Notamacropus eugenii: one gene and its partners. The protein of the gene in region 4 purifies or fractionates together with the protein of the main gene of each other region. This does not show direct contact. Links are inferred from orthologs where the notes say so. Each region holds a gene or a part of one and is shown on either strand. Other genes may lie near its edges. The genes, in order: DUSP16, MAPK8IP1, DUSP8 and MAPK9.

Region 1 (7,422 bases), on a different chromosome or scaffold from region 4:
TAATAAGTGATTACTGAATTGAATTGAATCTTTACACCAAAGAACAAGGATATGCCAAGGTTCAGTCCAGGATGGTAGAACTGTGAAACTTTACTCTTCTGTTCTCCCTCTCCCTATCCAATAATACTTTGTTGGAATAGCGATATTCCAATAGTTAGAAGAGAAACACCCAAATGAAACATATATATTGTCAAGAATAAAAGACAATACATTCAACTTTTAGTTACTGTCTCACTGCCCAGAGTCTGAAGACTTTTCTACACTATATTAGTATGATCATAATAAGTTAAGCTCTGAATGTATACTGCTGATATTTGGGTTGACTTTGTCAATGTACAGTAATCACTTTTTCCTTTATTTATATTTACTTATTTTATCAACAGAAATAAGGACCTCAGTTTCAAATTATTTTTTTCCTTTGTGAACTTTTGGTCAATTCAGTAAGCACTGACTGGTTTATCTATAAACTCCATTTAGGGACTGTATTTTAAGCTTTGCTGCAACTCAAAATTAAATGTAATAAAAATGCAAAAATACTAACATTTCATATAAAGTCTTTGTACTTGATAAATTTCTCGACTTAGGAAAAAATGCTTTTATGAAAAACAAAAAAGTGCAGTCCTCCGGCTAAGTCACTTTACAATGAAATTCAATTATTTCCGACTACCATTTCTGCCAATTACACAATCAGTAAGTTTCTCTTAATCATGACTACTTAAATTGTGCATCCACAGATGTCACATCAACTGACCTGTAAGTCTGGATTAGTGTCCATTTGCTAATGTGGTTAATTCAATTAGAACTTGAATGGGAAAATGACTGGTTTTTTGACCTAAGATGAGGCATTGTTACATACTTTCAAGAAAAGGTTGTATTTCTATGATACACACAATCAACCCTATAAATTCCAACATATAAGCAGGCATTCTTCTCCCAGCATGTTTTCCCAGTGTAAGTGCCTCTAGAAAATGAAGTTCTACTAAAATAAAAATCAGTAAGACAAAATGTCTGACCATTTTCTGAATGAGTTTTCTTCATTTTTAAGGGCAAAGTGAAAAATCATCACAAACAGAATCCTGGAGAGGCAAAAGGTTTCAAAGGTTACATCCTGCACTTTCTTATACCCCTTAGACTCAAGGTTGGTGTAGCCCAGAACTCTCTCCAAACCAGGTTGTACAACAGGTTGTTCTCCGCTCCAGAGATTTCTTTAAAAAATAAATTAGGGATTCCCATCTGATGACTTCAAAACACCAGGATGTTTGCCCCTGGCCAGTTAAAAAAATGAATGGACTATTACACTACCTAACTCACAAAATTCTGTGAGGACCAGGTTATAGATTGTTTAAAAAAGATTTTCATTAACCGTTCATCTTGCTAAAACAAAATATTTTAGACTACTCAGTCTTATTTTTCCAAAGTTACTAGCCTCCATTAAGAATAAACCAAACACCTCTGCTTCTTCATTGGTCAGAGTTACAAATACATCCACCTCTAGAACACAAACTTCTCTACTTAGCATCTGAATCTCTCCAAAAACACCTGGTTCCGGGCTACTTTTCCAGAATTATTACCTTACTCCCTTTCACGTATTTATTTGCTCCAGGCCAAATTACCCATCTCCCACCTCCGAGTCTTTACTCACGCTGTGGGTCTCCTACGGCCGAAAGGCACTCTTCATCTCCGCCTTACAGAATCGCTCCCTCCCTTCAAAGTTTAGCTTTAAATCTTTAAATGCCACCCCCTACGGGGCGCCTAAGCCGATGCCCGCAGCTCCACCACCGCGCCCCCTCCCCATCACGGGCAGCCGACCTGCATCCGGGCAGCCCCACTACTTCGTGTTGACACGGTAAATATTTTGTATATTCTGGCGTGCCCACACCCCCCACACACCCCCGGGGAACGTGAGCTCCCCGAGGGCGCCCCCCAGAGCCCGCCGGGTGCCTGGCACACAGTAGGCCCTCACTCTAGGCTGGTCGATGGACCGAGGGGGGAAAGCCAGGGCTAGGACTGGGGGGAGGGAGGGGAGGAAGGAGCTCGATCTCCGAAGGGTTCTACAAACGGGAGTCACGGTTATTGTTACATAAGCCGGCCACCTGAGCCGGGGGTCCCCTCAGAGCGACCATCCGGACCGCCTCTGCCCTCCCTCCGGTCCTCCCCGGCCGGACCCACGCGGGACTCGCCCGCGGACCGGAGCGCGGGGCAAACAGGCGCGCCTGGAAATGAGCAGAGGCGCCTCCCGGCAGCGGGCTCCGAGGGGACCCCCCTCCCCGGCCCCTGCCCAGCCCCGGGAGCCGAGCACCCCGCGGACCCCCCGGCGAGGCCTGCGGGTCCCTCCCCGGCCCGACACCTCTAAAAAAGGGGGGGAGGGAGGGGAAAAGTGAATGAAAACCCCGAGAGCCGCCGCCGCGCCGCCCGCCCCGAGGGGTCCACGCCGCGCCGCGCCGCACAGGCTGGGCCCGCGCCGCCCGCCGGGCGCACGGCTGCGCCCGGGGCCCCCCGCCCGGCCCCCTCCGCTCCCCCTCGGCCGTCTGCCCCGGCACCCCACTTACTTTTCCCCCGCCTCTCTTTGGCGCTCCCCTCGCTCGCCGGGGAAGAAACGAAAGTTGTCACCCGTCCGTGTCCCGGGGGCTCTTCCCCTTCCGAGGAGCCGCCGCCAACGCCGGCCCGGCTCCGCTCCTCTCCTCTCCTCTCCTCCTCCTCCTCCTCCTCCTCCTCCTCCTCCTCCTCCTCCCCCCCTCCTCCTCTCCCTTATTATCTTCTCCTCCGCGAGCTCGGCGAGGGGAGGGGGGAAAAGGGAGGAAACGTGCAGCTCCTCTTCTCCCACCCCCCAACCTGCCCGGAGTTCAGAGGGAAGTCCGAGAGGGTGAAAACTTCGGGAGCCCAAGGAGACTCGCGGAGAAAGTCCGGGGAGGGGGCGGTGGGCAATGAGAGTGTTTCCCTAAAATAATTAAATCTCCCTCCCCCAGAAAAAAACACGGTGATACCCAGAAGTGGGGGAGAAAGGCAGGGGGAGGGGAAGGGCCAGGGGCAAAGAGAAAGAGTCGCTGGTCAGGAAACTTCAAGCGAGGATGAGGTCATTGGTTTAAAAATAAAGCGATGGCGTCACTTGAAACCAATCCCAGTGAATGAACTCAGCAGAGCCCGGGGGAAAGGAGGGGACAGGCGGAGGAAGAGCCCGCAGCGCGGCGCGGACACGGCCGCCCCGGCTCCCCCGGCTCCCCCGTGCCGCGGCCCGAGCCCGGGCTGAGGGCTGAGGCTCGGCGCTTCGAGGAGAGCGGCGCGTCTCCCCTGCGGCACCGGGCTGGGCGCGGCGACGGGCCCCGTCCTTCCCCGCTCGGTTCCGAAGCGGCAGCGGGGAGGAGCCTGTCTGCACAATGAGGCGCTATTCAAATCCGTCGCTCCTCTCTCCTTCCTTCTCTCTCCCTCTAGTTCCCGCCTCTTTCTGTCTTCTTTCCCTCCCTCTCTCCTTTCCTCCCTTTCTCTTTCCTCCTTTCCGTCCCGGCGCCCTCCGTGCCCCCTAGGCTTTCCTGCCCTGAGGACGGATGGTCCCCGGATGTTCCCCTGCCCTCCTCGTTTTCCAGGGGTGTTTTCAGTGGGTTCTTTAACGCCAAGGAAGTTTACGTTTGGGAGCCAGATCTTTTTTTCCCCAAAAAAACCCATAAATCCCAAAGGTTTCTTTAAAACAAACATGTTACTGCTTCCCGTTCGAGTTTTCTTATTTGCGGACCCCCCCGGCCAAACTTCTCAAACCACCGCTGTTTGTAAGGTGAAAGACCCCCAGCCCAGGTTTCCCAAGCTGCTGTCCTTCACGGGGCAGAAGCAAGTAACACATTTTAATGATCCTCAGGCAGTAAGCATACACCTGACAACGTCAAGGACACCGGTGGTGTGCCGTCTCCGGGCGGAGGGCGCCGCGCACACAGACTCCTCCAAAAGCGCCCCAGAACAGGCTTTTTAAAAAGGACAACCAAGTCCAAATGGGCTTGTCTTGCCTTCTGTCTGCGACGATCCTCGGACAGCTGGAGACCCGCCGGGGCGGCACAGACCCGGGCTGAGGACCGCTCAGTCGGTCAATCTGCGCTTTACCTCGGCGCACTTCGGAGTCCTCGCCTGGATCTCGAGTGACAGAGATGCGATGGACGGCTGGGAAGCGCACTGCGAGTGGAGACGCTCCGCTCCGGGAGCCAGGTCCTGCCGGGCGTGGAAAGTCGTCCCGAGGACTACGTGAGGCACTTTCGGGAAGGTGCGGCAATGCTGTCGGACCCCCAGAGTATCATTTTAGCGCCTTAAGGGGTGCCCCAGGACACACGGGGGATTCCAGGCAAGCCAACTGTATTCCCAAAGAATTTATATACTGGGAAAATCCGGCTCATAGAACATATTTGCCTTTATAATGGCCCTCAAGCACATCTTTGGTTATGTGATATTCCTAGGCATAACTCCCTAAAGGACTTTTTTCAATGGGAGAAAGGACTGAGAAACTTACTAGGCTGACAAAGGAGTAAGGAAAGGTTTGTTTTTATAAACTCACCGACTAGATGGTTACTATTAGTCCTTAACAACTGAGCCAGTCCCTGGGGGAACATCAAAACTGTCTTTCCTAGGCGGTGGTGTTAGTGTTTGTCACCTCTCAAAGGGGACGGATGACCTTAGGAAGGTGATGTCTTGACTTGGCAGTAAATTGGATTTAAGTGAGGGAGGGGTTGTGCAAAGTCACCAGCCTCACTGTTTGCTCCAGAGCCGTCATCCAGGACAAGTGGAGATGGCTCCAGAGCAGTGGGGAGACCTTGACCTTTTTAAGCTAAGGTCTTTCTGAAGTCTCAGTTTGTCTGACAGAACACCCATTCAGTGATTAAGGCTAGGTAAGGAAAGGGGAGGAGAGGGGACAATGGCCTATTTTACCTAGTTTTTTTATTTTAATCAGTCTGAGAGGGGAAGACCCTCAGAGCTTCTGGCCAAAACAGGAACAATTGCTCTTTACACTCATTCTGAGCCATCAAAACCCAGGGACCAAGTGAGGCTTGGGCTGGAACTTATTGGGCCAGTCAGTGAGAGCCAGAGGGATTTGGGTTTAAGGCCTGGTCCTTCCCTAGGCAGGAAGTGAAAAAAAACTTAACTTAAAGGGGGAGCAGGGCTAGGGGAAGAGAAGAAGACCATCAAGTTGACTGACATGTCCATGGCCCCTGGTGGCCAGAAGATGTCACTGTAGCCTCTTCAGCCTCACTTAAGTGGAAATAAAGGTACACCATAGAGAACCTTGTGGAGCTCTCAGATCTAAAGGCTGGTTCAGAATTTCTTCAGCCCTGTTCATTTCCAAGCATCAGCACAAAGTGGTTGGAAAACAGATGTATTTCAAATCCATTAGATTAAAGAAGTGGGCAGTGGATAGAGTGCCAGACAAAAGTCAGGAAACCTCATCTTACTAAGTTCAAATCTGACCTCAGACACTAGCTGGGTGACCCTGGGCAAGTCCCTTAACCCTATTTGCCTCAATTTCCTCATCTGTCAAATGATCTGGAGAAGGAAATGGCAGACCACTCCAATATCTTTACGAAGAAAACCTCAAATGAGGTTAGGAAGAGTCAGACAGGACTGAACAGTAATAACAAAGGTTAAGTAAGGATCTATGGAAAATGGGGGGTTTCAGGTGTAGAGATGGGTGTCAAAACGCTTTTCTGGTACATACTAGCTGTGGGACCCTATGCAAGTCCCTGAAACTCTGTGCTCTAAGCAACTCTAAAATTATATAGAAGTTGCAAAGCAAGTGCTGATAATAATAACCAACATTTATGTAGCACTTTCAAGGTTTGTGAAGCATGATCTAAATTTGCAAAGCATATTTTACATATGTGTATCTACATCTTTATTTACATACTATATATACATATATACACATACACATATATCACTTAAGAAATGGCTAAACAAATTGTGGTATATGAATGTAATAGAATAATGTTGTGCCATAAAAATATATATATAAACATATACATATGTGAATAAATATACATATATGTATTCTCTTTTGAGTCTTACAACAATTCAGTTAAGTAGATGTTATTGTCCCCACTTTACAGATAAGGAAAATGAGACTGAAAGACATTAAATGACTTGTCCAGTATAGCACTTGAGCCATCCCACCACTTCTACAGGTCTGGTCCAGAAACAGAAAAAGACAAACACTTGATAAACTTAAGGTAGATGAACAACATTCAAAGCTAAGAAAGCAGTATGTGGGGAAGAGCCAGGACAAATTAATGGAGCACTCTTCATAGGTTGTGGTCTGACTCTCCTACATTAACTGGCTCACTCCTTGGAACCCTAAACCTTATACCTCATTCATTCAACAAATAATTAGAGATGCTATCAAGCCAATGCCAAGAAATATAAGATGTAGGCCATGATTATTGATGGAAAGAATGCTAAATCTTAGAATGCTAAACAGAGGACCTGTTTTCAAGTTCTGGCTTTGCCACTTGTAACCTGTTTGACCTTGGGAAAATCATTTAACCTCACTTGTTTCAGTTTCCTTATCTGTAAAATGAGGGTATCAGACTAGATGATCTCTTGGTTGGTTGTTTCATTCTCAAAGAGGATCAAAATGACATCACTATGCTAGAGTCAAGTTACAGTGTGCCCTACCATGGCTGATCAGACCAACATGAGCTCAGAATGTTCTACCACAGATCAGGCACAGATAGCCCATTTGGGGTGGATTCTATAAATTTAGGCATCTCGCGTTTTTGTTTTTGTTTTTGAGCTACTTCAATTCTGCTCTCCTCATGGAGCACAGCACCTTCTCTGATGAGGGCACACCATGCTGTGCAGTCCTATGCCAGTGTCTCCCATGTCACACAATCAATACCTGAAGTTCTTAATAGAGACCATAAGAGTATCTTTGTATCACTTCTTCTGACCACAATGGAAGTGCTTGCCATGTGTGAATTGGCAAATGTACTTTTTGCATTCAAACATGGCCAGCCCACACTCTCTGTAGTAGAGTGTGAATGCTTGACAGTTTAGTTTGAGAAAGGACCTCAGTGTCTGATATCTTATCCTGTGAGGTGATCTTCAGAATCTTCCTAAGACAATTCAAATAGAAGCAATTCAGTTTCCTGGCAGGGCACTGGTGTACTGTCCAGGTGTCACAGGCATACAACGAGATCAGCACAATGGCTTTGCAGACCTTCAGCTTGGTGGTCAGTCTTCTGACCTTTTCTGACCCACACTTTCCTTCAGAGCCTCCTGAATACTGAGCTAGTTCTGGCAGTATGTGCGTCAATTTCATTGTCAATGCTTACATCCTTGGAAAGTACACTACCAAGGTTAAATGAATTTATCCACAGCATTCAAAACTTCAGTTCTTCCCAATGGACACCTGTAATCCTATGATTTCCCCCATCCCACCCTCCAGGAGCTCAT
Region 2 (7,096 bases), on a different chromosome or scaffold from region 4:
TGGCTTCATGCACTGCCCCCTCCTGACCTTCCCCCACAGCTTTGGGCCTCCTTTCTGCCCTCACCCTTCAGCTGTTACCTTGCTCATTTCCTCTAGAAATGCCCTTTGTCTGTCCCAGAGTGGGTCGTAAGAGTAGGGAGCAGTGGGAAGTGGGGTTCAGTAGAACGGGGCCCTAAGCTCTCTGCTGACAGGACACAGACCAGCCTGATGGTGTGTGGACCATGGCAAATGTGCAAGAAGATGGGTCCTCAGAGTGGGAGTCGAGGTCCCTCCCCATCTCATTCAAAGATTGTACTCCCCCCAAAGAAGAAAGCAAAACCTCCAGTTCCTCTACCCCACCCTCTCCTTAATTTATTGGTGGTTGTAGCTTGTCCCCAGTCTGACCAGTAGATGGAGCAGGATGAGCCTTCTCCAGGCTTGGATTAGCCCTCCTTCCTCTCTACCTTAGACTTGCCTCTGGGGCCCACTGCCCCAAGCTTTTCCCCAGCTCATTCCTAAGGGAACCATGGGGACTGATGGCAATGGGCCCAGTGCCCTTTGCACAGAGACTTCTGTGTTTGAAAGGTATGGTGTTTTTCCCGTGGTCTGCCTGTAAAATATATCTTTGTTTTATAAACGTCTGACCTTGCCTGTGCTGTGCCTGTCCCATCTGTTCTAGCAGCCGCCAAGAGTGGGGGTGGGCAAGGCTGCCACTACTCTGATGGAGAAGGTTGTTCTCCAGACTCTAAATTGTGGGAAGGCAAATCCTGCTTAACTGCAAGCCTGAATCCAGGGTGGGATACTTTAGTAGAGCCATAGCACCCTCAAGGGAAGAGAAAAGGGGTCGCTGGAATCCATGGCTTCTTCTGGAGTCTGAGAACCTTGAATTCAGCATCCCCACGGGGAGTGGTGGGGTCTTGGCATGCTTCTGTACTAGCCTTTGGCCCGGTATGAATATTGCTGCAGCCTTGTTGATACACCTGCTGGGAAACTTTATCAGGAAAAGTTTGTTCAGCACCTGCCTGAGGAGCCTCAGTCACTGTTATAGGATGGCATGCTTCTGGTCTTGGTCCAGTGGTGCCATGGCACAGTGCTCTGGCAACCCAGCCTTCAACTTTCTAGTCACTGTGATAAGTTGGGTTGGCCAAACCCTGGCCCTTAGATGCCAGGCATAGCCCAGTGGGGATGATGGTGTCCTTCCCCCACTCTTGGCATTGATTTTGAGCAATGGCGCTTTCTAAACTAACCTTGGGCTAGCTTTCCTTTGATCTGTGTCTCATCTGGATTCTAGAGCATAAAGTCCAGTTTAAGCCCTAAATGGGTGGGGGATAGAGCCCAGAAGGAAGGAAATCCTTACCTCCCTATTTCATCCAAAAGGCCTCACAGGGTCCAGATTCCAGGATACCCATACATCCAGAAATAATCATTGGCATGCGTGAATCCCACTACAGAGGCTGAGAAGGCCCATAGGAGGCGGGCCTGATTTTCTAGCAGCAATGCCATGAAAAGGGCCTCTCCTAAGCCTTCAGGATGAGAGGAGTGGGCCACCCAAGGAGTTGGATCCTATGGATATTCCCTGCAGATGCTTTCAGTCTGACTGTTCTTAGCAGTGTTACATCCGAGGAGCAGGTATCTGTGGGGATTTGTGCCAAGCAACCAACTCAACAAATGTTTATTAAGCACCAATTATTACATACCAGGGACTAAGCAAGGCCTTCATAGTCTAAAGTAGGATATCGGCTTTGTGCCTAAGGAGCTCCCAGAGCCCACAGTCAGAGGGTAGAAAGGACAAGAACCCAAACGACAAGGATAAAGGACAAGGTCAGCATCAACTGGAGAGCTCTGCAGAGGAAAAGGTGTCACTTGAGTTAGCCTTAGCCAACAGTCCATTCTGGGTATGAGACCATGAGCAGAAGCACAGACACCTGAGGGGTCAGTGTAGATGGAGACTGAAGGGATGCAAAGTGGGCTAAGGCCAAAAAGCAGCTCGGGGAGGACTTTGAATGCTGGAATCGGGAGTTTGCACATCGAGTAGGCAATGGGGATCCTAACAGACACCAGAAGGAAGGGATGAGGTTACAACATTCAAGTCCTACAGAATTCCTAGGTTTAGGAGTGGAAGGAATCTCTCTTGGTCCAGCCTTCTCACTTTACTAAGGCCCCAAAAGATGTAGTTATGTGCCTAGGACCATAGAAACAGGTGGCAAAGACAAGATTTGAAACCAGATCTGACTTCAAGTTCAGCATTTATTCTATTAGCAGAAACCTATTCGGGTGGAATTCTGGGGAAGGTGCTTTCTGGGGCCAGACTTCTCAGGAGAAAGCAGGACGCTGTTCTGGGGCACATGGGGGTATGGAGGTGTGGATGCTGAGATGACAAAGAGATCCAAAGATACAATCCAACCTGTGGGGTTGGAGCCTGGTACAGGCTTCAGGGGCTCTGCTCTTTGCCAACACCCACAGCAATAAGCTGGCTTGTTAGATGAATTTCCATAGGAAGCTCATCAAGGGGATGTTAGGAGCTCCAAGGGCCCAAACAGCATAGGCACCAGTCCCTGGAGAGGGAAGAACCAAAGTAGGTATACTGGGAAGGAGCTACTCAGCCAAGGCTTTGTGTCAGTGGGGGGAAAAGGGGGGAAAATATAACTCAGAAAAAATCCCAAACGGCTAAGAGGTAGGAGAACCCGAGAGAGAAATGAAACTCAGAAGATCATGAAATTAATGGGTTGGTATTCAGGAGGCAGACCCTGTGCCCTGGCAGAGAAGACAGTGTGTTAGCCTAGAGAAGAGCCCTTTACAAGGAGCAAATGCTATCAAGGTGCTGAGAGAGAGTCGGTGAGGTGAGAAAATCAGACATTGCTGACAGCCTTGGGGGTGGGGAAGTCAGAGGAGGCTCGGATTAGGAAAGAGAGGATACAGTGTCTCTAGTCTGGGACTGATCTGGGGCTAGGAGGTGGGAAAGGGTCAGGGCTGGGAAGGGGACTTCAGAGGCCCAGAAAACACTCTGGGGGAGGGGGGGCAAGAGGAAGCTTGATGCAGGGGAGAGAGCATTGTCCTTGGAATCAACTCAGCCTTCCCACCCCTTAAACTGTGGGGCCTTGCAAGTTGTACCAGCCCACATTTCTCTGTAAAGTGGGGTTGGACTTGATTTCTATGGTCCTTTCTAGCCTTTAACACTCAAGCCTATAGTAGAGTCCAGATTTCTGGGACCAAATATTATCCAAGGTATTTGAGGAAGAAATGGGTCCGAGTGGGAAGACATGAATCTGGATGACCTTTGCCCTGCCTCCCCTCCTTTTCTCATTTTCTCTGTACAGCTTCCAAAGTGAAGGAATCTTAGAGAAGGTGTAGTCTAATCCCTTCATTTTATATATTATGAAACTGAGGCCCAGACCGAGAAAGGGACCTGTCTCGGGTCCCATGGAGAGTGAGAGGCAGAGACGAGGTTCCAGACCTGGGGCTATTTCCATTCCATCTGAGATCCAGTGGTAGGAGACTGTGCAGGTCCCGCATAAACAACAGGCTTTTAAATCTCAGTAATTCTGCATTCCCCCCCCCCCCCCCCCCCCCCCCCCCCCAGGGATGGGAATAATCTCTGAGATATTCTGAGGTTTGACAACTCCAAAATACGGTGGACAAGGTGGGGGTGGAGAATGGCAGGTAACCAGGGAATGGGAGGCTTCAGCACCTTGGAGAGCGGCGGCGGGGGCGCTACCCCGCGCTATTGGAGGAAGCAGGAGTGCCGAGGAGGAGAGGAGAGAGTTTCCCCTCTAGGTCCCTCGGTGTCCCTGCCACCCGGCCAGTTCCAACGCCGCGACCCTCTCCAGCCCCTGCTTTCACCAAGTCCCCGGCTGCCCTAAGTTCACCCAGCGCTGCCTGGTAGCGGATGCCCAGCCCCCAGACTCGGGAGCCGAGCCCTCCGCAGGTGCGTCCCGCCCCTTTCTCCTCCTCCTCCTCCCCTCCGGGAGCCTGATGGCTACAGCAGCAGCTTCTCCGCCCTTCCTTCCTCCCCCTCCCTCTCTTCCTCTCTCTCTCTTCCCCTCCCTTTCCTCCTCCCCCTCTCCCTCCTCCTCCTCCTCTCCCTCTTCCCCCTCTCCCTCCTCCTTCTCCTCCTCTCTCTCCTCCTCTCCCTTCTCCCCCTCTCTCTCCTCCTCCCCCTCCTCTTCCTCCTCTTCCTCCTCCTTCTCCTCTTCCTCCTCCGCCTTCTTTCCCTTCTCCTCCTCCTCCTCTCTGGCTCGCTCCGCCCGCCCGGATGGACTGGGCTGCGCCGGGAGAATGGCGGAGCGAGAGAGCGGCGGGCGCGCCGGGGGCGGGGGCGCCGCGTCCACGCCTGGGGCCTCCCCGTTCCTGGGGCTGCATATCGTGTCGCCTCCCAATTTCAGGTGAGAAGCGCTAGGGGCCCAGGGCGCGCATCCCCGCCATGCACTCTCCGCTGCTCGCCCTACCCCGGGGTAACTAGGGATCCCCTTCTCCCTTACCCAGGGCAGCGGCCTCTCCCCCCACCCCAGGAGCAAGTCCTTTCCGCCTTGGGGCTGGACTGGAAGGGGCGAGGGTGGGTATTCGGGTAGAGAGGCTGGGGCACCGAGGAGGAGGAAGGGGACTCCGGATGCCATTTCCCAGACTGTCTCTGGGTCCTCCTTCCTCTCCGCCAGAATTGGAGGTGGGGTCAGTGGGCGGGGGTCTTCTACCGTGGTGGGGAGGTTCTGGGCCTGCGACCCAGATCGCCAGCTCACATGAAGGTCGGCTATCCCTTGGTTGGTGGTGTCAGGAGTTCCAAGGTGGCAAATGCCTCCCCAACCCAAAGAAAAAGCTCTGGGCGGGTGGTTGGCCCTTAGAATGAAGGGGCCTCAGAGCCACGTGTCCTTGTCTCTCCCCCACCACCACTATGGGGAAGATGAGGTCTGTGCTAGGCAAAGCTGGCCTCCGTCTGACCGTATATGAGGTGAAGGAAGATTAACCTAGACATCCTGGGGGGTGGGGACATTGAATCTGGAGTAAGAAAATCCAGGCTTCAACTCAGCTCTGCTCTTTCATTGTGTGTGGCCGTGGGTAAGTCACTCCCCCTGAGTCTCAGCTTCCTCATCAATCTAAGGGACTGGACCAAATGATCTCTAAGATACCTTTCAGTTCTAAATCTTAGGAGCCTATAATGATGGGAGGGCCCCAGGAGAGTAGGGAGAGCGCCCTAGATATAATCTCCCTGAGTGATCTCTGAGGTACCCGGAGGCCTGACAACTTCCCCAAATGGGTCTGACCGAGTGGGAGCTCGGATGGCGGGAGATCGAGTAAAAAGAGGTTTGAGCACCTTGGAGAGAGACAGAGGTTCTTTGAACCACTTTCTCCCCAGCCGCTCTGTGAGAAAGAAAGAGAGGTCAGGGTAGCCTCTGGACCCCCTTTGCACCACCAGTCTCTATCCTAGCTCTTCCCGACTGGACCCAGACCTAGGGAATCTCTCCTACTTGGGCCGAGCTCGGTCCCTTAGCAGACATTTCACCTGGGGAGGATAGCCAAAGGAAGAGGAAGGAGGAGAGAGAAGGCTATTTTCTCTGTCTCCTCTACCCCCATCATTGACAGCTCCAAGCAATCCTGGGAAGGTGGTTCAGGATCAGAAGGGTCAAGTTGTTTTCAGAGGGTTTTTTGGGTTTTTTTGCTCAGCCTGGACTGGGTCTGGAAGATTCTTATAAAAGACCCTTATGTCTGGAACTTCTTTCCTTCTTTGACCTGCCCTGGAACAGACCCTGGAACATATAGGGTATAGGTCAAGGGGGGAACGGGGAGTAGGAAGCGTATGTGTGTTCAGATAAGTGGGAGGTGTGAATTCCAGTCACTGAATAATGTCATTCCTCCACCACCACCACTCTGCCCCCAACCCCAACCTCAGGAGTTTTATGAGAGTGAGCAGCACGTCTTCAAAGTGCTTGGAGATCCTTGGAGAAAGGTTCAAATAAACATCATTGTTCTTTCTCCTGCTAATAATCCTTCCCTTCTCCCTGGACACTAGCTCCCCCCACCCCCGCCTGGCAGTCTGATCCCAGCTGGGGCCCAGTGCCTGAAGGTTCCTGTGTCTGTGTCTGTCTCCTCCTGCTAGCACATGTCAGAGACTGAAGGCCCCCAGGAGGGTCACTAATGGTGCCTTCCAGCCACAGGGGCCCTTGAGACTTCCAGTCTGGAGAAGGGAATGGGAGTGGAGAGGAGCACCTGAGCCACAGTGGCAGTCTCATTGCTAATGAGACTGAGGTCATGGAGTGGATCCCTGTAGGGTCCCCAGATAGTATCCCCGACCTGGAGGCCTGGGATAAAGACTGTGGAGGGCTCTGTGGAGCCCATCTGCACAGAAGGAAGTGGGGTGCAGACAGCTGTGTGTGAGGACAATGATCTACCAAGTTCCAAGGCAGAAGATTCTTGCTTCAAGGCATCAGCCACACTTTGTACTTAAGCTGTTCCCTGCCCTTTCCCCTCCACCATCCCTTTGCTCTCACTTCCCAAATCCTCTCAACTTCTTTCTCCCTGACCCTCTCCCTCCCCCATCCTTATCCCTACAGTAGCTGTGACACCAGGCTCTTCACAGTCAATAGAGTATTTCTTTCACAGCTCTGTGAACTAGGAGGAGCAAGTATTGTCACCCCAATTTTCACTTGAGGAAATTGAGACACAATTAAGATTTCATGGCATTGTGGTGTAGATCTGGGTTAGGAGCCCCAAGTTCAAATTCCAGCTCAACCAATTACTGATATCACCTTGGACAAATGGCTCCTCTGAGCCTTAGTTTCCTCATCTGTAAAATAAGAATAATACTTGCATCTGTTCCGTAACGAATAGACTCCTATAAATCAATAGAAATAAGTTGTTCCTTTAAATGACTTGCCCACAGTTACAGAGTTGGTAAGTGGCAGGTTAGATTTTGAATCCAAATATCCTGACACTAAATTAATTTCTCTTTTCATAGCTACTTATAAACTTATTAGATAATGTCAGGGCATTAGAAAATTGGAAGGCACTAGAACAATTATCTGGTTTAACCCTCTCATTTTACAGATGGGGAAACAAAGGCTAATTGACTTGCCCAAAGCTGCATAGCAAGTTAGTGAAAGACAGCCTAGACTTTCCCAGGGGTCAC
Region 3 (7,217 bases), on a different chromosome or scaffold from region 4:
TGTGCTCCTGTCCCAGCAGGGAGGGGCTGCCTACCTTCAGCCTGGACGCTGGCTGGATGAGCTCTGTGATGGACACCTTATCTTGCTGTAGTCTTCTCTTTACCAGCTTGGAGCAGCAGATGTTGACCGAGCTGAGCACATGCCCGCTGTTGTACTCCACAAAGGAGCGGCTATCTATGACCAGGGGCCCCCCGGCTCCCCTGCGCAGAAGGCTAGCCAGCTTCTTGGCATCCATGACTTTCCGAGGAAGCCGGTCCCCAGCCATGCTGCTGCTGGGGCGTGGGCGAGGGGTGGCTAGAGGCCAGGATGGCTGCGCATGGTGCCAGACCTGCAGAGAGGGACAAGAGGGAGCCATCAGCAGCTGGCCAGGCCCACTGGGCTCCTGGGCTCCGCTCACCATTGAGCAGTCGGAGTGGGGCTGGGGAGCTGCCTGCAGGATTTCTGAGGTTTCCCTGAGCCAGAGACCAGGAGGAGGCTGTTGCCACAGTGCCAAGACTCAGCCAGTCACCCAGTGAGGTGGGGAGTCTGCCCCTTCGATCAGAGGCCTAGGAAGAGCCCAGGTGTATCCCCAGGTGCTCCGAGGGGAGGGCACAAGCTATTCCATCTTTCCTCCCTTCTGTTTTACCCATAAACCAGGAGGTAGGGGTGGGAATTGAGGTTGACCTGCCCCCGCCCCAGGCTTTTGACTACCAAGATCCCTTGGCAGTCTGCAGTTAATGCAATCTGTAATCTTCCTAGGGTGACCAGGCTGGAGTATTAGCATAAACCTCTAATCCTCAATTCTGTGCCGGGATGGCCAGGACCGCCCCCCCCCCCCAAGGGGGAGGGCCCAGCCTCGGAGAACTGCTAGTGCCCAGAGGCTTCCAGCCCTGCCAAGCTCAGCCTGAGGGGTTCTTCTCCAACCTCAGCAGGGTTGGTGGGCCTTGGAGAGTCCAGGAATGCCTGCACTTCCCCCACCTCATTCACCCACTGAGCCTGTGCCCATGATCAGGCCACCTACCACACTCAGCACACAGACCACCCGAGCCCAGAGGAGACACACTGAGTCAGCTATCCCTGGGCTGGCTGGCAAACCTGCACCTGATTTCCTTGCTTTCTCTCTCTCTGATCTCTCTCTCTTTTCCCTCCTCCACCCCACCCCCCACACACACACAATGTGGGGAGGTGGAGATGCAGCTAGGACCCAAAGCCAGGAGACTCTTGGAGGAGGTGATGCTACTGTGCCCCAAAGGAAGACAAAGATTCTAGAAGCAGAGGGGAGGGAAGAGAGCACCCCAGGCCTGAAAGAGAGCCAGGACAAAGGCATGGAGATGGGGGCTGGAGCCAAGGAGCCAGAGAGGGCATGAAAGGGTGGCTGTGTACACCTTGCAGAGCTGCCCTTGGACTCCATCCTAACCCCCATGAACCTTGGTTTCCTCCTCTATAAAGTGGAGGTACTGGACTTGCCGAGGGGCCCTTGAGTGAGGCTTGGAATAGGTGTCAGGAGGCTTGTACCTCTGACACTTACCACTTGTGTGGTCAAAGTCAAGGCACTTGAGCGATCTCTGCCTCAGCTTTCTCCTTTATAAAATGGGGATAATTGTGGCTGCCAACCTCTGGGGACACACATAATGCACATAAGGGTGCAGAAGACTACAGAAAGGTCAAGGCTCAGCAAGGGCTGCGACAAAGCAGTGTGACAAGGTCAGAGGTTGCTTTAGGAAGGTCACTTTGAGCTAAGTGTGAGATAGACTGAGACAGGAGGCCCCCCTCCCCCCCAAGCAGCTCCTGCAATGGTCCAGGTGTGAGGTGATGAGGAGGGGGGGGGGGGAGAAGAAGATGGGCACAGGAGGCTTGTTAAAAACACTTAGCACAGTGGCAGTAACCTCGGAGGTGCCACCTAAATGCTCATTCTCTTGCTTCTCCCCCTCCCCAGACAGAGACAGAAACAGAGAAAGAGCGACAGAGATTTGGCAAACAAATGGATACGGGCAGAGGCGTTCACTGGACAAATATTTATTAACGTGTGTGTATAGGAGGGAGAATAAGGGCCAAACAGAGACTGTCCCTGCCCTCAAGGGGCTTCTCCTCCATTATTCACAGAGAAGTCCAAGCAAAACAAAAAGCCAAGGCAAGACAGACTTAGTTTGTCTCCTCCCAAGACTGGGAGGAGAAAAGAGAGAAGATGCTGCATTGCTGACCTCAAGCCAGGCTCTAAAGAGCAGGGAGCATGCCTGGAAATGCAGGCATTGAGCACAGCCCAAGTAGAAGGACAGATGGCTCTGAGGGGGCCCTCCAGCTCTCCTTTCAACATCATCATAATATCACCTCTTTATATGTGTCAAGCACTGTGCTGCTAAGCCTTACAAACAGTGTTTAATTGGATCCTCAGAGATGGGGGCAATGGAGGCCTCCCTCCCCTTGCCCCTCCCTTTTAAATCAGATTCTCAGAGCTGGACAAGGCCAGGGAGCCCACCAGCACTCAGCGGGATGGAGAGCTCACTTCCACAAGGCAGCCTATTCTGGGTGGTGGATGGTTCTGGTCTCTTCCTCATGAGGCCCTGGGAATTCCTGGGGGTCCTCCAAGAAGGGTCTCCAGAGTGACTCCTTTATGAGCTAAATGGGCCTCAGGGACCATGCTGTCTAATCACCTCATTTTAGAGAGGAAGAAAGTGACGCCCAGAAAGAGAAGAGACCAGACCCTGCTCAGAAGAGGGAGTACAGTGGAAAGTGACCCAGACCAGAAAATGGGAAAGCCTTGACCTCATATGCCAATTTTGATGCCTCCTGGCTCAGCTGTGACCCTGGGGATGTCAGTCAATCAGAAAACATTTATTAAACCCTTACTGTATGCCAAGCCCTTGGGATACAAAGAGAGACAAAAGATAGTGGGCTGCCCTCAACAAGCTCACAAAGTGAGAGAGATGAAGAAGGTAGGGGAGAGAGGAGGTAGATTCTCATTTGGAAACAAAATAAAGTAAAATTTAAAAACCAAAATAACAAACACAGCTGAGCTCATTCACCTCAACCCCCAAATATCTTCTCTCCCCCCCAGCCTTCCCCCACCCCTCACTCCCTCCTCCTGCCCAAGGAGCTGGTTCTCACCAGTTCCCATGGGTTCAATGATCATTTCCATGCCAGTGATACCTAAATTAATACAGCCAGAACCCAGGGCCCACCCCAACAGCTCCCTGCTGGCCATTCCACTTGAGGTCCCACATTCTGGTCCAAACCAGACTGCCACCTATCTGCCCCTTGTCCAGACCCCCTCTTTGTGCCCAGGGCACCACCAGCCCTCCAGGAACTCAACCTCAGAATCACCTGCGACCTTCCCTTGGCTTCAGCCCAACACCCAAGCAGGTACCAGACTGGTCAAGTACACAACACCTTCAGTATTCACCATCATCTCTAGCTTCCTTCATGGCCACCACTCCCTGTCAGACACCTATCCCCTCTTTCCTGGATGTGAGGCAGGAATTGGTGTGCATCTTACATACAGCTGCCCCAAAGATCTTCCTACAGAAGATTCAGACCAGGTCACTCTCCTACTCAAATATCTACCCTGGCTCCCTACTGTCTCCTGGGTAAAATTCAAACCCCTCAGCATCTTGGACCCACCGATCTAGCCAAGTTGATTTCATACCCCTCCTTTCCACGTACTATGCTCCACCCCTCCTGACCTTCCTTCCTTAGCTCTTCTCAGGGTTCAGCATCTCTAAGAGCCCTTCTCTGGGTGGGGTTAGCACTCTGAAAACTTACCTCCTACTTTCTTTTGTGTTTACTTGGGATGTCCTGTAGGAGAATGGGAGTCCTTTTAGGGCAGGAGCAATTGTTTGTGTTACCTGGTCCCTTCTCCATGAAGATGGTAATCCTTCTCCCTCCTCTCCTGCTGCCCATTCCCCCTTCCTGTAAACCAAGCACTTAACAAAAAGATTCCCAGAGGAGTTCTGATGAGTCAGCACCTCTAGGATTGAACTGGGGAGTCTCTGACCAGGACCCTGGTTGTGACTGTCCCTCTGAGCCTGCTCAGTCCTTAAACATTCCAAGATGGCAGCTGTGCATCATGGAGTGCCCACCCTGGTGCTGTGGACAGCAGGAGCTGACCTCAGCTTTCAGGCTTTTCCTGGTCTATGTCATCGGTAGAGTAAAGGGTCTGGATTCAAATCCCAACTTTGTGACCCCCTAAGAAAGCTCCATTGCCTCTTCTGTTGAAGATGACCTTATCCCAAGTGACTTCCTCCCCCCCAGCTAAACCCATAGTCCCCTGGCCAGGCTTGGCCTCCCTTCTGCCCTCCAGCGTAGTCCCAAGGAATCTTTCCTGGGCCAATTAACTGGGATATATACTGTTATTTGTGGCCCAAGGGGACTCATTAGCAAGTTAGCACCTCTGTGGTAGTCATAGCAACCACAGCAGCAGCCTCCTCATGCCAGCATGCCTGGACTGCAGGAGGATGCAGTGGGGGGGCCACTGGCAGCCCCCAGCCTTCCCCCAAGCTCTCTGCTCCGAGACCTTTCTGATTCTGCCAAGGGCGCCAGCATCCCTCCAATCACTGGGGTCTCAGCTTCTCTTCCCCATGTATTTAGTTTCCACCCCAGTGGCTCATCTTGGATCTGTCTGTCTCTCCCACTACTACCAGTGGCACTGCACATGGGCCTCCCTCCTAAATGACCTTCGCTATTACCCTCAAGAATCCACCCTGCACATGAAATGTAGAGATTCCCAAAGCACAGGCTCCCCTGATCAAGCGTCTCCAGGATCAAATCCAGATTCCTCTTTGGGATCCAGGCTGATGACTGGAATCTCTCCCCTTCCATGTTCTCTAATGCACCTGCCTGTGGCTCCTCACATCTGCCCTTTTCTTTCCTATTTCATGCTGCCTCTGTGCTTGGCACGTGCCCTCTTCCCCAGCCTTGACTCTCCAAGGCCCTGGCTCCAGGAGGAGCAGCATTTCCTGCAGGAGTCCTTCCTCATTCTCCAAGTCAGAAGCTGGCTTATGTGTCCCATGTATAGACATATGAATGTACATGTAATTATATGTCTCCCTGCCTTTCCTCATCAGTGGCATGTCAGCTTATCGAGGGCAGGAGCAGGCTTCCTTTCCTATGTGAATGGCTGGTCTTAGCACAGAGCCCTGGAGGAACACACCTCTGCCTCCAGTGTTCAATAGTTGACAAGCACAGACCTCCAGAGAGGAGAGCTCACCACCTCCCCCCTTCCCCCTCCCACCTCTTTGGCATAGATCTTTTGGTTAGGACAAGTTTCTGAGCTCAAGCCTAAATGGTCCTGTCTGGTACAATTTGGGTAGCCCTGTGCCCACTGGAGTCAAGCTGAGCCAGGCAGGCTGGGAGACATCTGAGCCACACCTTGACAGGCATGAGGGGCTGCACCTGAGGAGACTTTCCCAGAGTCTTGCAAGAGGGAGGTCCTCTGAGCTAAAATGAGGGAGAGAGATGCTGACACCCATGGACCTGCTCAAGTCAAAATACAGAGGAGCTAGTTTGATATAACACAAGAGGAACAGTAGGAGGAGCTCCACCCATGCAGAAGAAACAAATACAAAAAGTTTCATCAAGGCTCTCCTCTGCTTAAGAATGTTCCATGGCTCCTCACTGCCTGGCTCCTCAGCCTGTCATTCAGGAGTGCTGATTAAGCACCTTGTGCTCCAGGCTGGGCATGCAAAGACAAAGTGGAGAAGAGCCTCAATAAGCTTCCATCCCATTGGGGGGTCAGGGACAGAGACTCGACTGTTGGAGAGGAAGGCAATCGCTGAGCATGGGGTTTGAGTCTGTCTCCAGTTGTGTGTCCCAGGGTTCCTCTCCAAGACCAAGCTGTAGACTGACCCTGCACTGGTCGGGGGAGCCTCTTCACCAGGGGCTCTGGGGAATGGTCAAAGCTGGTCCCAGGGAAGTCAATTCCAAGTAATCTGGAGAGGGGAAGGAGGTGTGGTGAGAAGCAGGTCCCTTCGAGGAGGCTGGAGGGGTTCTCCAGGTGATGAGGGAGGGAATGGCCAATGTCAAGGCATGGGCAGGATGTGGAACGCTGAGCGGAGTCTTCCCCCCCCCAACCCTTCTATCATTCACCACTTTATTATCCAATGCCAACAACCTCCAAAACTGACTTCCCTGCCTCCAACATCTCTCATCCATGACCCATCTTGGGCAGCCTTGAGTCCCAACTGTAGGCTAGCTGGAAGGCCCTGGGTAAGCCAGCCACTGAATCACGCTGAGCCTCAGTTTTCTTTTCTGAAAAATAAGAAAAATTCTGATATCCTTTGTTTCTCAGGGCTCTTATGAGAAAAGTGCTTTGAAATCCTCAGCCTGCCAGACTTCAGGGTCATTACTCTTGAAGGCTCTGCTCTCTGAAGGGTTTCCAAGGCCTGCTCTAATCAGCCCTGCCAGCCTCTTTTCTCCAGCTTTCAAGGGTGGGGGTCTCCTTCCAGCTTCTCTACTGGGCCTGTCCTGACCCTAGCCAACCTTTGCTCCAGTCCTACCTTTTTCGATTGGGTCAACCCATGCAGGGGTCCAGAGGAGAGCGATTATTAGTGCAGAAGTGTTAGAGGATCCATTAGTGATCAATTTAGGTCTGTCCTAGACAAACGTCCAAAAAAAAATGACTGGCCCAAGCTGGGGACCCTACCATTCTATAGTTCTCTCAGGAACTGCTAGGCAGTACCCAGCTCAGACGGGCCTTTGGCCCCCTTCCATGCCACCCACAAAAGGTGTCTCTTGGGAGGGGACAAAGCCCCTCATGCCTCTTAGCCACGGAGGACCTAGGACTGCAGCAGTGCAAAGGCCCCTCCTAGGGCAGGGAGGCTGGGGGCCAAGAATCAGCCCAAGGGACCTTCCCCAGAAGCAGAGACACACTGCCCCATGATCTCTTCCCCTCGACCGACCCTTGGTCTAGATCGTGCCCTCGCAGGAACCTTCTGCACACCTACATCCTGGACAACAAGAACATGCCCCACCATCCAGATCATCCCAGTCCATCTCCCACTGTCCGCTTCAGCACCACACCAAAGCAGAGGTGCACAGTAAGTGTCAGGGCTGGGTGGTATCTTTGAGCTGGCTCATCCCTCATGTAAAAGAAGGGGCTCCTGAGACCAGAGAGCACTGGCTCCTTGTCCAAGGTGGGTCATACAGGCCCTCACTTCACATCTAGGGACCCCTCCACCCAGCTGAAGGCTCACAGACACACGTGTGCCCTAGTTCCCCCTCTGCTGTAGGGACAACCCAGCACT
Region 4 (7,720 bases):
TGACAGAAAGAACCTGAATGTACCAAAATATTCCTAGTAATAGTATTTTCAATAGTTAAAAAGTAGAAACTATGTGCCCAATGACTAGGGAATGGCTGAAAGAAGTTCGGTATATAAATGTAGTGAGATAGTACATCAGAAGGAAACAAAACATATGAAAAATTCAGTGCAATGTGGAAATACCTTTAGTCAAGAAAGCCAAATCCCTGCCAAATTTACAAGATCCCTCATCTGTAAAATGAAAGAACAGGACTTGATGGACTCAAAGTATCTTCCAGGTCTAAATTTATGATCCAAAGTCATTGTGTATTAAAGGTAACACGAAAAGGCAGCAAAACTAAAGCTAAATACAATAGACAATGTTGATTTCAAATTATTAAAATTAAAGCATGTATTCTTAATTTTTGTTAAACAATAAACCACAAAAATAGAAAATGACATGTATTGTCAATTGAAACCACTATATTAGGTAGCATTGCTTAACTTTTTATAGGGAACTATGGGGGCAGATAGAGTTTTAAGGAAGTCATCCTAACAAAATATGTTGATATAAGAAATTATAAAAATAATATGAGGAAGTACCTGGATTAATAAGGGAATATTTAAAATAAGGTTAAATGTACATCAAATGCTACTTTAATATTCAATATTTAATTTCTTCAAGTGTTAAGGAAATAGGTGAATTATTCTCAAGGGGATGTGACTTTTCAAACTCAAATGCCAATAGAAAATCTGCATGAATTCCTTCCCCTTCCCTACTCTAACTTGGCAAAATTTCACAAGATTTTAGACAATTATTTAGATTCTTAGTACAGTTAATAGCATATAAGAACATGTATCTATTCATTGTTACAATTCAGTTACTAAGGCAAGTATGTAAAAAAAAGATATCCTATTTCTCATATGCTTGGGAAAATAGGCCTCACCACTGTTAGACCAGTAAATATTATAAAGAAAAAAGAAGTTGAAATTAAAGCCTGAATTGTGCTTAGCTCTGGAAACTTTGATAGAGACTGATAAATGTTCTGTATGTGACATCTGGGTCAATGAATTTCAAATGCTATGAAATGGAATAAATGTGACTTGAATTACTATTGAGACAAATATGAATTTACCTAATATTTAAATGGTCTGATAATTTGATCTTGTTTATTTAAATTGGTAACAGTTTGAGAATAAAATGACATGTTCAAGAAAATCAAAATTTCCCCAGGGAAGACCACTAAAATGGGATTTTTAACTTATAAGGAAGACCTCTGAAAGGAAAAAAAATTACATTGTAAAAATAAAGAACCTTAACTGAATCAGGGTTAAATGTTTTCTTGAATTGTAGCAAATTACTGGCTAAAAGATTGTCAGTGTTAACATTCATCTCACTATTGGTTCTGGAAATTTACCAACAAAAGGAAATGTATCAGGATCTAAAAAGTAGCAACAAATCAGGCAGAACAGGGGGGAAAAATTTTAAGAGGTCATTTACTTAAATCCACATAAAAGTTAGTCTGAAATAAGATATTTCAATTAAGAGCCAAATCATTTCTGCTGTTAAACAACCCTAAATTTCTGCTTGAGATGAGCAGACAAGGTTCTTCCTGGAAGACATTTCTGCCTCACTCACTCACTTAGCCTACCAGGTTCCCTAGGAAGAAACTGGGAAAATATCTAATTCAAGATGCTTAAAATGTACTAATGCTGATGAGGGGTCCACAGGAGCAATAATACAACTTTGCCTAAGGCCTCAGTCCCTCATTCCAGTTCTCTACAAATACTGTTCAGCACAGAGAGTCTGAGAAACTGGTGGATGGTAAGGCTCCTAGGAGATATGCCAAGAGGGTCTGACCAGGGTTTGATTTCCATTCTGCGTCTTGCTAAACTGTGTGACTTCAGGCATATCATTTAAGACCTCTGAGTCACAGTTCCCTACTCTGTAAAATGGGAATAACTCGAGCTCTACCTACTTCCCAGGGTTGTTGGAAGTCAAACACTTTACACACTAGGACTAATGTGAAATAGGGTCACTTACGGCTGAGTCTGCTATGCTATGCAATTCTTCAATGATAACTGAAGAATCGGGGGAAGAGAGGAGGCTTCAGTCTAGGTGACAGGTATGTTTTCCTCATTTTACCTTTTCACCGAATGAGTGTGAGGGAGGGATGAAAAGCACGAGCACTTCAAGATCAAGCACAGGACTGTGGAGTGGGAGGCAGTGGTCCCCAGGGAGGCTCTAGATGGGGGGAGGGGGAAAGAGGAAGCCCAAGAATGACAGCTGGGAAGGGAGGCACCAGGGCTGCACACAGGCGTACCTGGGTGTCCCGCAGCCCCAAGGGGGATGGGATGCGAAGATCTGGGGCTAGCGGGGTCTTGGGATCGTTGAGGCCAAACCCCTCGTTTTACCGAGTGCCAAAGAGGAGGCGGCAGGGGCCGGCCCAAGGTCACGCAGGCAGGCGGGGCGGGAGAGGCGGCGCTGGGGTCCCGCCTCGCGATGCTGCGCCCCGGACCCAGCCTTGGCCCGGCTCCGGCGCTGGCACGGGCGCGGGTCCCTCCGGCGCCTCCGACAGACAGAATGCGGCACTCTCCGGGCAGGGAGGAGGAGCGGGGCGCGGTGCCAGGAGCAGCCGGCCTCCCGGGGCCCGCAGCCCGCCCGGCCCTGCCCCGGCTGCCGCAGCCCCCCGGGCCCAGCCGAAGGCTCGCGCCCTCCCTCCGCCCCCTCCCCTTCCTCCCAGGAGGACCCGGCGCCTCACTCCCCACCCGCCTTGGGTCCCGGGTCCCGGCCCCCGGCTCCCCGTCCGGGGCTCGCGCCCCGGCCCGACCACTCCCCGCCTCCCTGCCGCCTCACCTGCCCTCCCCGCGGCTGTCTGGGCCGGCGGGCGGGCGGCGCTCAGGGCTCAGCCCCAGCTCCCGGGCCGCCGCCGCCGCCGCCGCAGTGGGTGCGAAGCCGAAGCTGGGAGCCGAGCTCAGGCCCTTCCGCTCATGGCTCCGTCTTCAGCAGCCGGGGGCCCAGCTCGGCGGACCGACGGGCACCGCGGCCAATCGCTGAGCGCAAAGCGAGGCCCGGCGCAGCCAATCCTGAGAGAGGGCGGGGCCCTGGAGCCGGGGCTGCCGGGAGGGCCGCCTCTGGCCGGAGGTGTGGCTGGCCTGGGCTGGACTGGAGGGGGGGCCGTGGACCTCTGCTGGCAGGTGTTCTAAACCCTCCTCAGAAGGGAACATTGATCCCGTCACCTTTGATGGACAGAGAGGGCAAGCCAGGCCCACGTCACCTAGCCGGTGTGGGAACAGGTAGACACCTGAACCCAGTGGGCTTACCTGCCGGTTAGCTCATTCATTCGACCCGCATCGATGATTCGCCTGCTGTGGACAAGACTGTTTTCTCTCTGCTTTTCTTTCCCTACCTGTTTTCTTGGTGAACTCATCAGCTTCCATAGATTCAGCAATGATCTCTGCGCAGAGATGATAGCCTATGGGCAGCTGGTGGAGTTCAGGAAAGATTCGAACCGAATACGCATGTATTATATACAATATACGTATACATAATTTATACAGTGCACGTACTCACCTGTGTATTCAGCTCTAGTCTGGTACCACCAGCTGCCAACCGGATATAAATCATATGCCCTTCAAGCACCTCAAAGTCAACATGTCCAAAACAGAAGTCATCATATTATCTTCCCTCCTACCCCCATGCCACCTGTGTTTCCCTATTGATGTCATGGTCCTCTTCAAAAAACGAAGGACGAACACAACAACTGATGGTCTCTCTTTTCTCCCAGTCACCCAAGCCTTCCACATTAAAATCATTTCCTAGGCTTCTTTAAGAAAAATCTAATTAAATTTTATTTTAGTTTCAAATCCTAATTCCCTCCTTCCCACCTTGCTCACCCCCACCCTTCTGAGTCCCTATTTTCCCTATCTCTGTTGAAGGAACCACTGTTCTCTCAGACACCTGAGGCTTCAATCTCATCCTCTTGTAAAAAAAAATTCTAATTAAATTTTATTTTATTTTCAGATCCTCATTTTTCTCCTTCCTATGTCCGGAGCTCCCCCAATTGAAAAAGCAAGAAAAACAAAAACTCTTCTTACAAACATGAATAATCAAGCAACATTGGCCAAGTTAAAAATAAATCTCAGTCTATATACTTTGAATCCATTACCTCTCTATCAGGAGGTTGGCATCATGTTTCATCTTGAATCCTTTGGAATTGTGGTTGGCCATTGTGTTGAACAGAGTTACTAAGTCTTTCAAAGTTTTTTGTTTGTATAATATTCCTGTTATTGGATGAATTGTTCTCCTGTTTCTGTTAGCTCCGTATCAGTCCATACAAATTTTCTGTCTTCTACTCTTTGATTTCACCCTCACCCCCTAAATCGAATAAGTTGCCAAATCTTGTTGAGTATACCTCCAAAATCTCTCAAATCTATTCCCTTCTATCTACTTACATAGCCACCCCTGGTTCAAGCCCTCATCGCTTCTTGCCTCTACTATTGCAATAACCTTTTAATTGGACTCATGCTTCCAGTCTCTCCTCTAATATATTCTCTACATAGATGCCAAGTAAATATTACTAATGTTATAATAATAGCTAGCATTTATATAGAACCTCCTATATGCCAGGCACTCCTATGTGCTAAGTGCTCTACAAATATTGATCCTCAAAGCAACACTAGGAAGTATATACTATTATTATCCTCTGTTTTACAGATGAAGAAACTGAGGCAAGCAGAGGTGAAGTGATTTGCCCCGGTCCACATAACTGATAAGTATCTGAGGCTGGTTTCAAATTCTGGCTTTCCTGACTGCAGAGAGAGCACTCTGTCCAGAGCCACCTGCACTAGTAAAGGTCTGACCATAGTATTACCCTGCTCAAAAAGGTTTAGTGGCTCCCTGTTGCTTTTAGGATAAAATACAGCCTCTTCCTTTTGGCTTTTTAAAGTGATTTGCAATCTGGCTTCAGCTAAGTCTCCAGGCTGACAGCACATTACTTCCCTATGTGCACTCTATATTTCAGCCAGACTGGCTTACTTTTTATTTCCCATACATTCATCTCCCTCAGACATACCTTTGCTTAGGCTATGCTCCATGCCTGGAAGGCATTCTCTCCTCACTTCTGTCCCAAAGACTCTGTGGCATCCTTTAAAACCCAGCTCAAGTGCCACCTTCCAGTTACTAGAGCCCATGAGCCCCCAAGAATACTTTGTAAATATGTTGTATTTGCCTTTTTGTGTACATGCTCTTCCTTAGCCAATAGAATATAAGCTCTTTGAAGGCCAACACTGCTCCCTTTCTGTTGTGAATCCCCAACCCTGGTACAATGATTGGCACAAAGGAGGTGCTTAATAAATGCTTCCTGAATGAATGAATGAACAAACAAATGAAAGGGAGAGCATTTTAGACATGGCAGTTGGCCTGAGATACATAATAATAATACCTGACACTTTAAGAATATTTATAAGATGCTTTACATGTGTCATCTTTTTTGATCCTCACAACTACCTTGTGAGATTAGTATGACCTCCCCCATTTTGCATGTGAGGAAACTGAGGTTTAGAGAGGTTAAGTGCTTTGCCTATGTTGTATGATCATATAATTAGTAAGTCACTGCGTTGGGATTTAATCATAAATCTTTCTGGCTCCAATGTCAGAGCTCTATCCATTACCTTGACACTGCCACACCGATTAAATCAGAACAGTCAGTAAGTAGTCCATTTGGACAAGAAGCAGAACTCATGAAGGAGAAGGATGTGATATAAGGCTGGAAAGGAAGGTTGTAGCCTGAATATAGAGGGGTTGACCTTTCAAAGAGAAGGGCCAACTTGACCTTTAAAAATAGTCATGGAAGTTGAGGTTGATAAATGAGTCATCAATGTGAACACTGGTCACCAACTATGAAGGCTGGTGTTGAATTAGAGAGGAAGACTAAGTCATTAGGAGAGATGGGAGAGTGCCTTAGAGGATGGACAATACAACAAGAATTTTTGAGCACTTACTACGTGCCAGGTATTATGTTAAGTGAAAGGGATGCAAAGACAGAATAAAGCAATCCTTTCCCTCAAGCTTATATTTTATTGGCAGAGAAGGGACAACATGTACATGCTTAAATAAAAACAAAATATATACAAAGTTGTTTCTCCACCCCCCCGGGGGAGCAGAGGTTTATTGAGAAGGGAAGTTTATTAAAAACAGAATAAAACATTCCATCTAGCCAAATGTGGTAGAAGTAGTACCTACAAGAGTCTCTGCCTTGTAGATTAAGCTAATTTCTTTCCCTAAAAAGCAGGAAAGCCATTTCTAAGACTTGATCAATCATTGAATTCTTTCTGTAAGCAATGATGGTATTGATTTGATTACAGTTCCCAGACAAGAGGTGGAAAGTGGGAGGACTGGTACAGCAGTACATCAGATAGGTGTCATAATGGGTCAGTTGAGTAGAAGCTGCCAATCCAGGTTAGGAAGGTACATGGCAGCAGTCAAGCACACCATGACAAGAAGATGGTTATAGTGAGGTCCCTGGGGCTGGTGTTGAAAACCAGGAAAGACTATAGTCTAGTAGTTCAGATTCAAGATTGAAATGAAATAAGACATCTATAGACCACCTAACAGTAAGAGAAGTTTTGTTCTGCCATATAATAGAAAGGGAGCAGCAAGGTGGCACCACAGTGTACAGAGTGCTGGCCCTGGAGTCAGGAAGACTCATCTTCCTGGGTTCAAATTTGGTTTCAGACACTCACTAGCTGTGTGGCTCTGGGCGAGTTACTTAACTCTGGTTGCCTCGGTTTCCTCAGCTGTGAAATGGGGATAATAATGGCCCCTACCTGGCAGGGGTGTTGTGAGGATTAAATAAACCCTTGGCATGATGCCATTGACAAGCATGATTGACTGAGAATTGGCTGATCCTGACCTGGTTTAAGTTCCCAAGCCAATGAATTGCCTGGGGCTGACCAAACATTGTCACTCTGGCCTCTGATTATTTTATAAATCTCTTAAACTCTCCCCTCTTCAGATTCCGTACCTTTCTTTAAGACCTTTGCATGGTATAGAAAACAAATTATCTGGTGATACTGTGAGATACCTAACCCCTTCCACCAGTGACCACTGTCATTCTCTCTGCCTTGATATTCTATGTAAACTCTGTTCCCAGCCCCCTTCCTTGGGTACCCTAGCACTTGCTGTGCAGTACTGCAAGCCACAACTCCTTTGTCCCGATTAAAGACCTCCATTTTGTTGTATTGACTGTTTTCATTACAATTTCAGGTTGACACCATGCACTTAATAAATGATTGTTTCTCCCAGTGCCAGCTCCCCCAAAAGAAAGTCAGGGCCTTTGAAGGGTGAGAGCCAAAAGCATGAAGAAGGGGAACACTGGAACTTTTCAAAAGTTTTACATTTAGGATGCCACAAGGATTCAAACAAAGACACCTTTATGTGCATATATTGGACTGTATAATAAAGATACTGAGACAGCAAAGAGATTGGGAGGAAGTGTAAGGTGTTTGAATTCTGATCACTTGATTAAAGAAAGAAAAGGAAGGAGAGGCAGGAAGTTGGATTTCTACTTAACACCTTCTTTGAGACAACAGCTGTGCTTAGTTTCTGTTTTCATTTCAGCTTTGGCAGAAACCTGCTAATTACGGATCAAAGCTGCAAGTAGTCTCCTGGAGTAAGAGTAAAGCCCAATACAGATAAAAGTATCTCTTCGGAACTACTGACAATTAAGCCCCTCAAAAA

The links.
Region 1: the proteins of MAPK9 (region 4) and DUSP16 purify together in Homo sapiens (affinity purification with mass spectrometry; 6 studies listed by BioGRID and IntAct, with this or other methods). This does not show direct contact. The link is inferred for Notamacropus eugenii from reciprocal best matches to the Homo sapiens genes MAPK9 and DUSP16.
Region 2: the proteins of MAPK9 (region 4) and MAPK8IP1 purify together in Homo sapiens (affinity purification with western blotting; 4 studies listed by BioGRID and IntAct, counting the BioPlex papers as one, with this or other methods). This does not show direct contact. The link is inferred for Notamacropus eugenii from reciprocal best matches to the Homo sapiens genes MAPK9 and MAPK8IP1.
Region 3: the proteins of MAPK9 (region 4) and DUSP8 purify together in Homo sapiens (affinity purification with mass spectrometry; 4 studies listed by BioGRID and IntAct, with this or other methods). This does not show direct contact. The link is inferred for Notamacropus eugenii from reciprocal best matches to the Homo sapiens genes MAPK9 and DUSP8.

What each region holds. Positions count from the first base shown.
Region 1 is NC_092874.1:198,461,535-198,468,956, reverse strand, and holds the start of DUSP16 (dual specificity protein phosphatase 16), read right to left. Parts: upstream 3,006-7,422; 5' UTR 2,550-3,005; intron 1,844-2,549; exon of another isoform or gene 1,643-1,843; intron 1-1,642. UniProt on the Homo sapiens protein: Dual specificity protein phosphatase involved in the inactivation of MAP kinases. Dephosphorylates MAPK10 bound to ARRB2.
Region 2 is NC_092877.1:4,983,766-4,990,861, reverse strand, and holds the start of MAPK8IP1 (C-Jun-amino-terminal kinase-interacting protein 1), read left to right. Parts: upstream 1-4,091; 5' UTR 4,092-4,254; coding exon 4,255-4,361; intron 4,362-7,096. UniProt on the Homo sapiens protein: The JNK-interacting protein (JIP) group of scaffold proteins selectively mediates JNK signaling by aggregating specific components of the MAPK cascade to form a functional JNK signaling module. Required for JNK activation in response to excitotoxic stress.
Region 3 is NC_092873.1:26,331,252-26,338,468, reverse strand, and holds the start of DUSP8 (dual specificity protein phosphatase 8), read right to left. Parts: upstream 3,003-7,217; 5' UTR 401-3,002; coding exon 35-400; intron 1-34. UniProt on the Homo sapiens protein: Has phosphatase activity with synthetic phosphatase substrates and negatively regulates mitogen-activated protein kinase activity, presumably by catalysing their dephosphorylation.
Region 4 is NC_092872.1:415,957,441-415,965,160, reverse strand, and holds the start of MAPK9 (mitogen-activated protein kinase 9), read right to left. Parts: upstream 3,009-7,720; 5' UTR 2,837-3,008; intron 1-2,836. UniProt on the Homo sapiens protein: Serine/threonine-protein kinase involved in various processes such as cell proliferation, differentiation, migration, transformation and programmed cell death.